Rattus norvegicus: one gene and its partners. The protein of the gene in region 1 interacts with the protein of each later gene in a biochemical or structural test. Links are inferred from orthologs where the notes say so. Each region holds a gene or a part of one and is shown in the gene's direction. Other genes may lie near its edges.

Region 1 (3,565 bases):
CCGTTCTGGAAGGTATACACTGCACCGATCCTCTCCGGGTCCTGCCTTTGCCACGGGAGCAGTGCATCCATTACGGGGCTGGGGAGAGGCAGAAAGGGGCGGCTCCCATCTGCTGTGTACCCCTTTCTGCTCAGGCTTTGAGGCACAAGCAGGGGAAGTTCCTGGATTTCCAGGAAGTGACACAGCAGCCTCCCCTTGCACATGTATATCTGCCTCTCTCTCTCCCTGGCCGATGTAATGCATGTGTGAGCTCTGGGTTTACCTCGCATTTGGGCTTTCCAGCACAGGCTCCTTCCGTCCTTGGGTATAGCATCTTCCCTCATCCATTTGGTACAGAGGGTTTGAATGATGGAATCTTCTTTAGCCAATCCCAAGAAGAGCCATGGACCTCTTCTCCACGGATACATGCTCTTGGCCAATAGGAGTTTACAGCTTCCATAGAGTGTTGCTGGACCACACTTCTTCATTCTGCTTTGTACTCTGATTGACTCACTGGGATAGCAAAGTTGAGCTACCTAAGAAAGGCCTGTCTTAGCCATTCGGGATGCCTGGTGGTACCCATTTGACCTCTCTGGACATCCCTCCTGGCCTGCCCCTCTCAAGTGGGAAGATCTATGTCAGTGGATTACCCAGGAAGAAAGGAGCCTGTGGCCTTGCTGGGTGGTGGGCTGGTGACCACAGGACCAGTATGGTTTTGCTTGCATGAGACCTGAGAGCTGCTCTTCTGTGGCGGCTGAGTGCATACCTTCTCCACTCTCCCTTCCACCTCGCTTGCCCAGCAGTGCTCACACACTGCCGCTAGCAGAGAGGCATCCTGTCTTTATCGTCGTCTCTGTCTGTTTAGTCAGTGCTCCCTGTGAGTCCTCATTTCCTGACACTTGATGGGGGGTAAGGGAGAGCGGGGATGATGGACAGACACAAACCGATACCTTCCCTGTCGTCAGTTCTGTTGTTTCCTTGTCGGGCTGGGGGAGGACTCTCAGGGCTGGGAGGACTCCCAGGGTGTCACTTTGACTGGCTGAGGATTTAAAGGGAAGACTGTTGGAGGAGGGCTTATATACCTGCAGGGCAAGGAGGTTCCAGCAGATAGACTCTGTTTCTTGTAGTGAAGAGAAAGAGAGACTGGCTGGCAAGTGGGGTTGAGTATGTGTCTTAGCTGGGATGGCCACTGCGTCGGTGAAACACCATGACCGAAGGAAAGAGTTTATTTATTTCCCTTACTCTTCCATATCACCCAGTTCATCATCAAGGGCAGTCAGGGGCAGAAACAGAAACAGGGCAAGAACCCAGAGGCAGGAGGTCTAGTGCAGAGGCCAGGAAGGGGTGCTTGCTCAGCCTGCTTTCTTATAGCGCCCAGGAGCATCTGGATGGCACTGCCCACAATGGGCTGGGCTCTCCCCTATCAATTACTAATTAAGAAAATGCCCTACAGGCTTGCCTATAGCCCCCCCCTTTAAGATTTATTTATTTAATGTATATGAGTACATTGTAGCTGTCTTCAGACACACCAGAAGAGAGCATCAGATCCCATTACAGATGGTTGTGAGCTACCATGTGGTTGCTGGGAATTGAACTCAGGACCTCTGGAAGAGCAGTCAGTGCTCTTAACTGCTGGACCATCTCTCCAGCTCCCTATAGCCCATTCTTATGGAAGTGTTTTCTCCAGTGAGGTTTCCTCCTCTCCGATGACTTCAGCATGTGTCACGTTGGCATAAAACTAGCTAGCCCGGTATGAATTCTAAATAGAGAACATAGGAAAGTGATTGCCGCGCCCCATCCCATTTCCTTACATTTTAAGAATCGGGGGGGGGGGGCATGAATAGATTTCTTAACTGTCAAATACATGGTTTTCCATGTAGAGACATATTTAGCCATTCATTTACTTTGCCTATGTTTTGCTATTTACTGATCTGCTCTAACAGGTGACGGGTGTTTGGTAAGACACAGGATGAGCATTCATTAGGGTCCCACTCTGTCAGGTGTCTTGAGGCTATCTGGTCTTTTGGGCACAACAGTCTGTTTCTATATAATATGTGTGAACAGCATTGGGCTTCTGCAGGGTCTGAGGTGCCCATCCAACCCAGTGGTCAGCTAAGTAAGTTGGCACTGGAGTTAATGAGTGCTGGGCTTGCTTGCCAGGACAGTCTAGGTTGCATTTACCCTCGATGGGGTGTGAGTTTAAGGATGTTTAAGGATACCTCGGAGGTCCCAAGGTACCTGGTCCTTTGATGGCAGGATCCCAGGGGAAAGGGGCAGGTGCTGGGTTTCTCATGGGGCACACCTCTTGTGAGCAAAGCCCCGCCATGACCTGCTGACACCCTGTCCACACTGACCCAGCCCTGGAAGAGAGACCAGCCGTGATGACCTCACCTCTGTACCTGGAAATCATTATCTACTGCACCGGGGCCTTCCTGATCTCCTGTATGGTGGGCTCCGTCATCATCTACAAGATGAAGAGCGGCACCAAGAAGAGCGACTTCCATAGCCAGATGGCTGTGCATAAGCTGGCTAAGAGCATCCCTCTGCGCAGACAGGTAACAGAAAGTAGATGGGGGATTTGCAGGTTCAGCACTTTCTCACCCCCTCTTCCTGGGCCTCTGGGGTCTGCTCCCCTTCCTACCCTCTTGGGTTTTCCTCATCTCCCGCTCTGGACTTGGCTCCAATTTCTGGACACATTGGAACATTGTAAACTAATTCCGTCACCCGAGACACGGTGGGAGGAAATGAATGGGTTAGAAGGCGCAGACGCGTGAAAGATCAATCATTCCTCAGAACACCGCTGACCCAGAAAGGTGCCTGTAAGGATTAGGAATCCATAAATCTAAGGCAGAGAGTTTTTGCAAAGAGTTAGGGACAAGAGAAGAGCAGTTATATCATGAAACACTAAGCTTGAAGAGGTATATTTGGTATGCTCATTGGTTAGGTAAGCAAAATGGAGCCCAGAAAGACTTTGTTTGTCTTTTGGTTTTTCAGGACAAGGTTTCTCAGTGTAGCTGTCCTGGAACTGACTTTGTAGACCAGGCTGGCCTTGAATTTAGAGATCGCCTGCCTCAGCCTCCCAAGTGCTGGGATTAAAGGTGTGCGCCACCACCGCCTGGTTCTGGAAAGACTTTTTGATGGTGGAAACTGCTTAGTCAGAGCTTCTGTTATGGTTTTGGTTTGTTTATTTGTTTGTCTTCACCACATCCTTAGGAATAGAAGTAAATCTGAGCTATTTATGGTTTAAAAAAAAAAAAAAAGTGGGGATTTGGAAGGGAGGGGCTGGCTACGGATTCACCCTCTCCTTGCTAGAAGGGTGACCCCACTCTTTCTTACAGGTGTCAGCTGACTCCAGCGCATCCATGAACTCCGGGGTTCTCCTGGTTCGGCCTTCGCGACTGTCCTCCAGCGGAACCCCCATGCTAGCTGGCGTCTCTGAATATGAGCTCCCTGAAGATCCCCGCTGGGAGCTGCCCCGGGACAGGTAATGCTGCTGTAGTTTTCCACCGCGGATGCCCGCGCTTTTGCTCTAGCTGTAGGAATTGTGTGTGCCAGGGCCTTCTAGGCACTGAAAGAACATGATGCC
Region 2 (4,262 bases), on another chromosome or scaffold:
TCAGATCTGGGGCGTGAGTCGAACTCAAGGACAGGGGCTGTTTTCAGGAGCCCTGGGTGCCCTTTGCTCCTAGCCTCAGGAACCTGGGGGGCGGAGGCAAGGACCCGAACAACCCAAAGATGCGAGCCAGAACTCCTTAACAAACCCGAGTGTGGGTCCACCAGTGTGTGTGTGTGTGTGTGTGTGTGTGTGTGTGTGTGTGTGTGTGTGTGTGTGTGTGTGAGAGAGAGAGAGAGAGAGAGAGCGAGAGAGCGAGAGAGCGAGAGAGAGAGAGAGAGAGAGAGAGAGAGAGAGAAGAATCTGACTCACACCCAACTGTCATACCTGCAATATAGTTTGCGCGTCTGTGAGTCTGGATAAAGAATGAAAGAGAAACTGCCCTGTCCAGCCAAGCTCCCTACACCAACCTTTCCCTTCCAGTCTATTTTATAATGAGCCTCAAGGTTACAGAGTCCGCGCGAAAACTGCCTTCCCAGTTCCCCTCTGACCCTGTGCCTTTAGCGAGCTAGATCTCAGGCGGCCGAACGTCTCCAGGGCTGCTGCTTCCCCTCTCTGGCACCGCGTCTCCGGCGTCTCTAAAGCCGGTTTCCTAGGACTCGGGTTTCCCCGTGAAGTCCCGCGCTCAGCCCGCCTGTGCCCGGCCTGCGGCAGAGCGGCTCGGGCGTCAGGGCGGGCGCTAGGACCGGGCGGAGCGGGGCGGCCGCCGCGCTACCTTAAACCCGGCCCAATGCCGCCGCCTGCGCCACTCTGCGCGCCGGCGGGGGCTGCGCAGGAGGAGCGCTCCGCGGCCACGGCGCTGCGCGGCCCGCGCGGCGACACCTGTTCGCGGCAGCCCGGGCAGCACGCGAGCTCCGGGACGCGGTCCTCGCCCGCCGCTTGCCGCTCGCCTCATTGCAAGCCGCTGGACCTCCGCAGAGCCTCTGTAGCGTTCTGGATACTAGCTTTGGACGCCGAAAGTTTTTTTCTTCCTTCTTTTTGTTATATTATCCTTATTTTTTGGAGGAGGGACTGGGAGGAGAGATTTGTCGCCGCCGCCAACGTGAGATTTTTTTTTTCCCCTTGAAGGATTCATGCTGATGTCTGCAGAGTCGGTTAGAGAGTAAAAACAGCGCATGCCTTTCTGGAGTCAGGATCCGTAAATTCTGACGTAGCCCGAGCATCTTAAAAATCCCTGTAATATCGCCCAGGCACTTACGTTGCTATGGTCATTCTGATCTCTAAGCAAATGGAGAAACTACGGATTTTTTTCCCTTATTACGGTCGGATGGGATGAAGACCTTTCTGCCCGCTGGGAGTCGAGGCTCCGTATGTAGCGATGCATAGCTGTGTTGATCAATGTCAGTGTGTGAGTATGAAGTGGTGGCTTCTTAGACTATCAGTGGTTTGACCTTGAACCTGTGCCAGAGAAACAGCCGATTACTTTTATTTATGCATTGGATGGATTGAAGAAAAGAACCCTTTTTCCCTCTCTGTCTGCAACTGCAGCAAGGGAGGGGAGTTGGATATACCTCGCCTAGTGTCTCCTGGTTGATACCATCATTATTGTTTATTCTTGTGATTAAAAGCCGAGTCCTCTGATGGCTCCCTTAGGTGAAGTTGGGAGCTATTTCGGTGTGCAGGACGCGGTACCGTTCGGGAACGTACCGGTGTTGCCGGTGGACAGTCCGGTGTTGCTAAGTGACCACCTGGGTCAGTCCGAAGCAGGGGGGCTGCCCCGGGGACCCGCAGTCACGGACTTGGATCATTTAAAGGGGATTCTCAGGCGGAGGCAGCTGTACTGCAGGACTGGATTTCACTTAGAAATCTTCCCCAACGGTACTATCCAGGGAACCAGGAAAGACCACAGCCGATTCGGTAGGTATGCCTTTAACCCCTCAGTGTCCACGCGGTGACACGTTCAGATTATTAACTACCAGGAAGGCGGTGGTTAGACGGGGATGCTGGAAGGGCTATATTGTCATATTCATATCCTCCCACCCCCCACACCTTTGAGTATCTTGCCAGCCCAGGGAGGGAAAAAGCCTCCGGAATTGCAGATCTGCGGCTGGCATTGGTGCAACTCCACACTCAGAAGGCCCTTCTTTTCTTCTTCTTCCTCTTCTTTCTTTTTTTTTTTTAAAGGGGGGGGGTAGTGAGTATGAATATAACCCAAATCCCAAGTTTTTTCATTAGATATGCGAGAAGATAAGGTTTACGAAGTTTCTTTCTAACGGACCCATTTCCACGAGTTTAAAGCTTTAATCACTAAGAACTTTAAACTGCGTCCACTTTTCTGTAGGTAGCCGGTATCTTGCTCAAATTAAGTTTCTCTCCCTTTCCATTTCCTCTAATAAGCATTCTGCCTGAATTGTAAATTAAGCGTGCTGTTTATTCCTGGTGCTGGTCTGAAAGCCTCGCAGGCGAAGATTGCTGGCTGTTCTGTGGGGAGCACTGAGGTCGTGTTTTAGATCCGAAACATCCGGGCAGAAGCTCCTGGGGGGGGAAAAGGACCCGAGTGGGGGGCCGAAATCCCACTAGGGGTGTCGGCTCTTACATCCATTGACTCCCAACCTCTGCTTTATAATTTCCACAGCCTGTAGCCTTGTGTGGGTTTCCTGGGTGGCTCTGGTGTGAGTGTTTGCGTGTGCTTGCAAAAGCTGCAGGCTCATTTCAAAGGACATTCCGAAGATTTCGTGTTCCGAGCAGGGTACTTGTGACTCAGCACCGAAGGCTGCAGACTCAGGTGGGGACTCTGCCCACTTTCATGCTTCCACACACGTGCCTGGCGGGGCACCTTCAGTGGTGGTGCAGTGCTAAGTCAGCGAACACAGTTCTGCCTGGTGTTGGGGAGGGGGCGGGGTGTGTGGAATCTAGGTTTCCCCTTTACTTAAAAAAAGAAAAAAAAATCGACAGTTTGGGCAACCAGACTGTTGGAAGGAGTTAACTCCTGAGTGAACCCACCTGACAACACTTAGACTAGGTCGTAAAACCAAGTCCTGTGGTGATTTTTCTTCCTCATGCCTTAATGCCAGATGTTGGAGGAAATCTAAACTACGTGCTAGCTTCGTGGACTGTGGATGTTGCCCGGAGGTGAGGAAGGTCCAGGCCTGGATGAAGATAGTCCAAATTCTTGAGGCCCAGGGTTTCTCCCTTGATTCACTACTGAGGCTGGGGTCGAAAGTGAACCCAGTCAATATGGCCAACTGACTTGTGTCCCCTCGCTGCTTAAAAACAGAAAGTGTAGCTCATCGCTGCGATGATTCCTTGGAAACCTAACTATCTTCCCACCACCCTGTAAGTAAACGCCGCTGCTGGCTGTCGCGGGGAAGACTAAACTTTACTGGAGTGCTTGTCTAGCTGGCCACCTTAAGGGCTGCTACGGAGCCGGGTTTTCCGAGCAAGACAGGCAGCGGGAGGCCGGTGGTGGCGGAGATAGAGTGTCCTGGCGGTCGGGGCAGCCTGCTTGATGCCCGGGCAGCCCGCTTGATGCCCGGGGCAGCTGGAGCCGGGTCCTCCCGCGCTCCCGGCCGGCAGGTGCGGGCTCAGCCCCGGGCCCCGCGCCGCTCTGGCTCCGCGCGGTCCTAAGAGCGCTCGGGTTCTAACTCCCTTTCCATGGTGCTCCTGTGCGCCCCTCGGTACTGCGGGGACCGCTGGGGTTCAGGGGAGGAAAGACAGGGGCCGACTCCCTTCTGACCGCGTGTAGGGTGTCCGACTTTTCTTTTTTGCCCTCGTTTAGTCCCTTTGCTTTCTCTTTGTGTGTGAGTGCGGGTCTGGCGGCGCTGACAGCCGCCGCCCGAGGAAGCGCGGTGGTGGTGTGCGGTGTGGGAACCGCCGGAGGTGCGCACCGCAGCCGGAGAGTTGGTGGCGGGGACCGAGGACAGACTGGAGGTTGGAACTGAGCTTCGCGGTCTCATGCAGGGTCCCCTCCCCACCCCCCTTCTTTCCGAAGCGCGCAGCGGGGTTTGGGAGAGTCGTAGGGCTCCGCTGGGTCTGGGAGGTGGGTCGGGGGCCCCTGGCCTGGCGAGGCCACAGTCGCAGGGGAAGGGGTGGGGGTGGGGGTGACAAAGGGCCTCGCCAGGCGGTGCAGGGGGTGGCATGCTATTGTTAACCACTAGCCTAGGGAAGGCATCCGGATCTAGTCTTGCGGGAGCAGAAGGCCGGCTGCACTCGGAGCGCAGGGCTGCAGGGGCGCTGCGACCAGCCAAATCCACCTTTATTGTGTGAATTACCGGGTCCCAACCAGGGGTGCCTCACAACTGGGCCCAGGTCAAGTGATAGCCCTC
Region 3 (4,266 bases), on another chromosome or scaffold:
CTTTAGAATCTGTGGGGCAAAGAGATATTCCTTGAGCTTTTATACTTTTCTGTATTTTTAAAAATTGTTTATAATCAGCATAAGTTACAAATTATAAAAGTGAACATGAACGATTCCTGGGAGACAGAATACTTCTCGTGAATCCCTGGAACCCCCAACGTATGATAGTACCTACTAGGTACATTATACAGCAGAAAGAAGAGCTTGGTGGTGATTGGGCAGCTAGCAGAAGGTGGGGTTTCAAGGAGCCTGCCCTTTAAAGGAAATCGCAGGGCTTGGGATTATGCATGAAGTGGTGCTTTCCTCTGTCAGAGCCGCTTCTCTGAGCAAGGCCACCCTCACCTATATTTCCTGCACAACTCAAGTCCTGTTCAGGTGCTAAAGGTGTTGATTTCACTCTGTTCTCATCCCCTCTTTTCACAGACACAGCTGTTTGATTAGTGGAAGTCTTTGCCTTGACATCTCAGTTACACTGGATTTTTCATAGCCTTAAGAATAGGGGTCTCTCTCCTGCTGAAGGAGAATTCTTGCTCTTGCTCCTGTGCCGTAATACACACCGAAAAGCCAGGGCAGCAGTGGAGGGAGAGGAAGAGAGGATTCCAATACTTGCAAGCAGTTTCTGGTAATTTCTGAATACTACTTCTAAATGTCTCTGCATTTTCTTCTAACTGCCCCCCCGCACCCCCCCCCACTTCTGAGATCTGAGTTGTGCTGCTGTGAGTTGCTCCCTCTGTGGGAAGGTAAACTTCATAGGTAAGAGAAAACAAACAACAAAGCAAACCTCCACAACCCTCATTTCTCTCCAAATTTCCAATTTCCTTCACTTAGGAGGAAGAGGAGGAAGAGGAGGAAGAGGGTGAGGAGGAGGAGGAAGAGGAAGAAGAGGAAGAAGAGGAAGAAGAGGATGAGGGAAAGGAGGAGAAGAGGAGGAGGAGGAGGAAGAAAAGGAGAAGAAGGAGAAGGAGAAAAGGAGGAAGCCATTTGCTTCCTATTGCAAGGACTTTAGTAACTACATGGGGTGGGTGTGGGGGGCTCTACAACTTTGAAAAGCGAGCTGAATCTAAAAATTCTTTCTTTTTTTTTCCTAATTATTTAAACGTTCAAATTCCCGATTAAGGAACGCTGGAGGGCAGAAGGATCTCCAAAGGCTTGAGTGAAGGAAAAGGGTGAAAAGAAGAAATCCCAGCTTCTGCCTGGAAGGTTCTGTGTGAAAGAGCCCGGCTCCCTTGGTGACTCCAGGCCGTGTTTTGCAGGCGGCCGCATCTGCCTCCCCTGTCTCTTACCTCCTGGATGTTAGGAACTATTTGTGGTCGGCGTGGTGGAAGGACACAGTGAGGTTCTCACCTCCGCCCCCCGCCCGTCGCTCGCATCCCCAGTTCCATCAAAGCCAACCCGGGCCAGCGCAGGGATCTCCGAGTTGCGAGTGTGCTGAGGCTGGGGCTGTCACTCATTCTCCGCTCAGCGCGTGAACGCAGCTCGGCAGTGGCTGGCAAGAAACAATTCTGCAAAAATAATCATACCCAGCCTGGCAATTGTCTGCTCCTCGGTCCATTGCTCCGCCGCCGTCCACAGTCGCTTGCAAGGGAAGGCACTGAATTTACCGCGGCCAGAACATCCCTCCCAGCCGGCAGTTTACAATGCTGCGAACTAAGGATCTCATCTGGACTTTGTTTTTCCTGGGAACTGCAGGTACATTTTTATTTTATTTTATTTTTAAAATTCTACATCGGGTTTGTTAATTGTCCGCTTGCCCCTGTCCTTCCTCCCTTTCCCCGAGAAGCACGGTTCTTTTGGGTGGTTTTGTGTGTAAGGCAAAGACAGCATTTTCACTGAGCTGAGAAGGGAGCGCATCGCATCGTCCTTGCTTGGCCAGCCAAACCCGTGCCCTCCGGGACGGCGCTGGACGCGGCTGTCTCCCCGCTCGGTGGCGACCGCGCACGCCCTTCCCACTTGTGTGCCCGTGGAGGTGGGACAGGGGTATGGGATCAGGATGCTGCGGCTATGGGCAGCGCTGCTTTCCCCTTCCCCGAAGGCGGGTGGCGGGGATGCGCTGCTCGGGTGGTGTCGCCCCCAGGCTCATCTTCCACCTAGAGGGGTTTGTCAAGCTTAGAGAAGAGTGAACAATAAGGCTGGGGCAGCTTTCCCCCCACCGTTATGTCCCGGGCTGTGATAAAGTGAGGCTTGCAGCCTCCGCTCACTCCCCCCTCTTCCCCGCCCCGAATAACGGTTTGCAAAATGGGGCAACCACGGGCAGCACCGCAGGGCCCCGTGGCCGTTCCTGCACCCCCGTGCAAATGACGTTAGTTTTTCATTTGCCAAATTGCTGGGTAGTTGCAAAGCCTGCCATCGGCCGGGAGCACGGAGGGATGGGAGGGTCCAGCGCCGCGTTTTGACAGGAGGAAGTGCAGAGGGGCGGAGGGCGAGGAGGGCGTGATCGGGGCTGCCTGGTTGTGCGTGTGTGTGTGCGTGTGTGTGTGTGTGTGTGTGTGTGTGTGTGTGTGTGTGTGTGCGCGCGCGCGGGCGCGCGCGCGTGTGCCTTTACACGCACCGAGAGCCCAGGGTTGCACGGTGCCAGCGAAGAATGGCAGGTAGCCAGTTGCCCAAAACACCTCTCCCTATTCTCCTTTCTCTGGGTGATATTCCTAATCCTGGCAAAGTGTGAACAATGGGGCGCTCTGGAGAAAGACCGTAGCGACGCTGTCGCGGGTGGCGGGGGCTGTGCCACCGCCCAGAGATACTAAGCATCCGGGAAGGGGGCGCATTGCATTTTGGCTATTTTCATCTTGGCTTTCCCTGGAAAATTCTTCTGTGTGCCCACCCTCCCTTCCAGCTGCTGCCCCTACCCCACCCAAGGATTTGTGCTTTGGCGTCCCTGTGGACTGGGAGAGGGGCAAGCAAAAGGCGCTGGGACCGCCGAGAGCTGGGTGGGATGGGCCGACAGCTGGGGCGGGGGGGCGTGTGCTGCCAAGCACCAGCTGAAAGCAGGCCAGGCAGAGGAGACCGCGCATGGCTGTCGTTTCTGCCCAGTGTGGCTGTACTAGTCCAGAATCTCTAAGCCTTGGGTGTGGAGCGCACAGAGCGGCCCCGGGAGCACCCAGCGCGCCCCCCTCCGTGGGCAGCAGGAGAGCAGAGCTGGGCCACCGCCTCCAGCCAACTCTGGTCAGGGACCAATCAGAGCGAGTCTGGCTGGGCGGGAAGCCGCGAGAGGCTTTTATTGCGGCGCGGGTGGCGCCCGAGCTGCCAGGATGGTCTCCGGGTGTTCTAGCTTAACGGTCTCGCTCGCCACCCGCTGGGAGAGACCCCGCCCTGATACTGCCCCTAGCTGCACGGCAGTTTTCGAGGACATAAAATGGAGAAGGATGGGCCCTGGGACATCTCTTGGTCCAGCTACCTCATTCTCGCCCACTCGTGCCTCTTTCACGGCGGCTTGGAGCATTCAGGCTCCCTGTCCATGGCGCACAGTTGCGCCGGAGCGCTTCGCCTGCGAGTGCAGAATATAGCAGCCCCCAAGCTGTGTCCCAGAGAGCAGACGCGCCTGCGCTGACCCTCTGGCCAAGGACTAGACGCTAGGGTGGAGGGGCGTGGCGGGGTGTGGTAGGGCGTGTCTTTACAGGGCGTGCGGAATGGGTCCTCGCCACCGCCAAGCCCAGGACTGGCAGAGGCGTGCCCTTCTCCGTGGTGCTGTGGGTGTCCTCCTCTTAGGGTGTGCTTATTGAGACCTTCCTTCTGGATAACAGCGTGACAATGGAGACCTAATCTTCCATGATGCGTCTTTTTAGGATCTTCTTGTGGTCTTCTCCATGATGGAGATGGGTGTAACCCTCCTTCAGTGTTTCTATCCTGATAGAAGCTGAGGGAGGGAATCCTACAGTGGCGTGATACCGGACGCTCAAGCAAGACTGGCATCCTGACCAGTGTTCCCTGGAACGAAAGAATTTGTGTCTGCCCCTAAGCCCAGTCGGTGAGGACGAGGAGAAAGAAGCACATACCAGCCTATTTAACAAAAGAAAGTGGTTTTACACAGAGAATTTTCAATTAAAGTATTGTTTTCACCAGCTTAAAAAATCTAGAGAATTCAAACCAAAGGGTTAGGAAGAATATAAAAGAGGGATATATATGAATATCCCCCACCCTTAGCTGCAAATGCTGTATCCACAGACAATGGTATAGTTCAAACCCTGTTATTGGTGAATATGAAAATTTAACATATAAGGAACGCTATCTCTAGCATTGGTTAATGAATATCCTAGCGCATATCAAATGAAT

The links.
Region 2: the proteins of Fgfr1 (region 1) and Fgf9 interact in a biophysical measurement, tested with the Homo sapiens proteins (2 studies listed by BioGRID and IntAct, with this or other methods). The link is inferred for Rattus norvegicus from reciprocal best matches to the Homo sapiens genes FGFR1 and FGF9.
Region 3: the proteins of Fgfr1 (region 1) and Ncam1 form a complex in vitro, tested with the Homo sapiens proteins (2 studies listed by BioGRID and IntAct). The link is inferred for Rattus norvegicus from reciprocal best matches to the Homo sapiens genes FGFR1 and NCAM1.

What each region holds. Positions count from the first base shown.
Region 1 is NC_086034.1:73,201,332-73,204,896, reverse strand, and holds part of Fgfr1 (fibroblast growth factor receptor 1 precursor), read left to right. Parts: coding exon 1-12; intron 13-2,337; coding exon 2,338-2,540; coding exon of another isoform or gene 2,541-2,541; intron 2,542-3,317; coding exon 3,318-3,463; intron 3,464-3,565. UniProt on the Homo sapiens protein: Tyrosine-protein kinase that acts as a cell-surface receptor for fibroblast growth factors and plays an essential role in the regulation of embryonic development, cell proliferation, differentiation and migration.
Region 2 is NC_086033.1:36,325,933-36,330,194, forward strand, and holds the start of Fgf9 (fibroblast growth factor 9), read left to right. Parts: upstream 1-1,425; 5' UTR 1,426-1,577; coding exon 1,578-1,854; intron 1,855-4,262.
Region 3 is NC_086026.1:59,059,144-59,063,409, reverse strand, and holds the start of Ncam1 (neural cell adhesion molecule 1 isoform 1 precursor), read left to right. Parts: upstream 1-1,429; 5' UTR 1,430-1,637; coding exon 1,638-1,689; intron 1,690-4,266.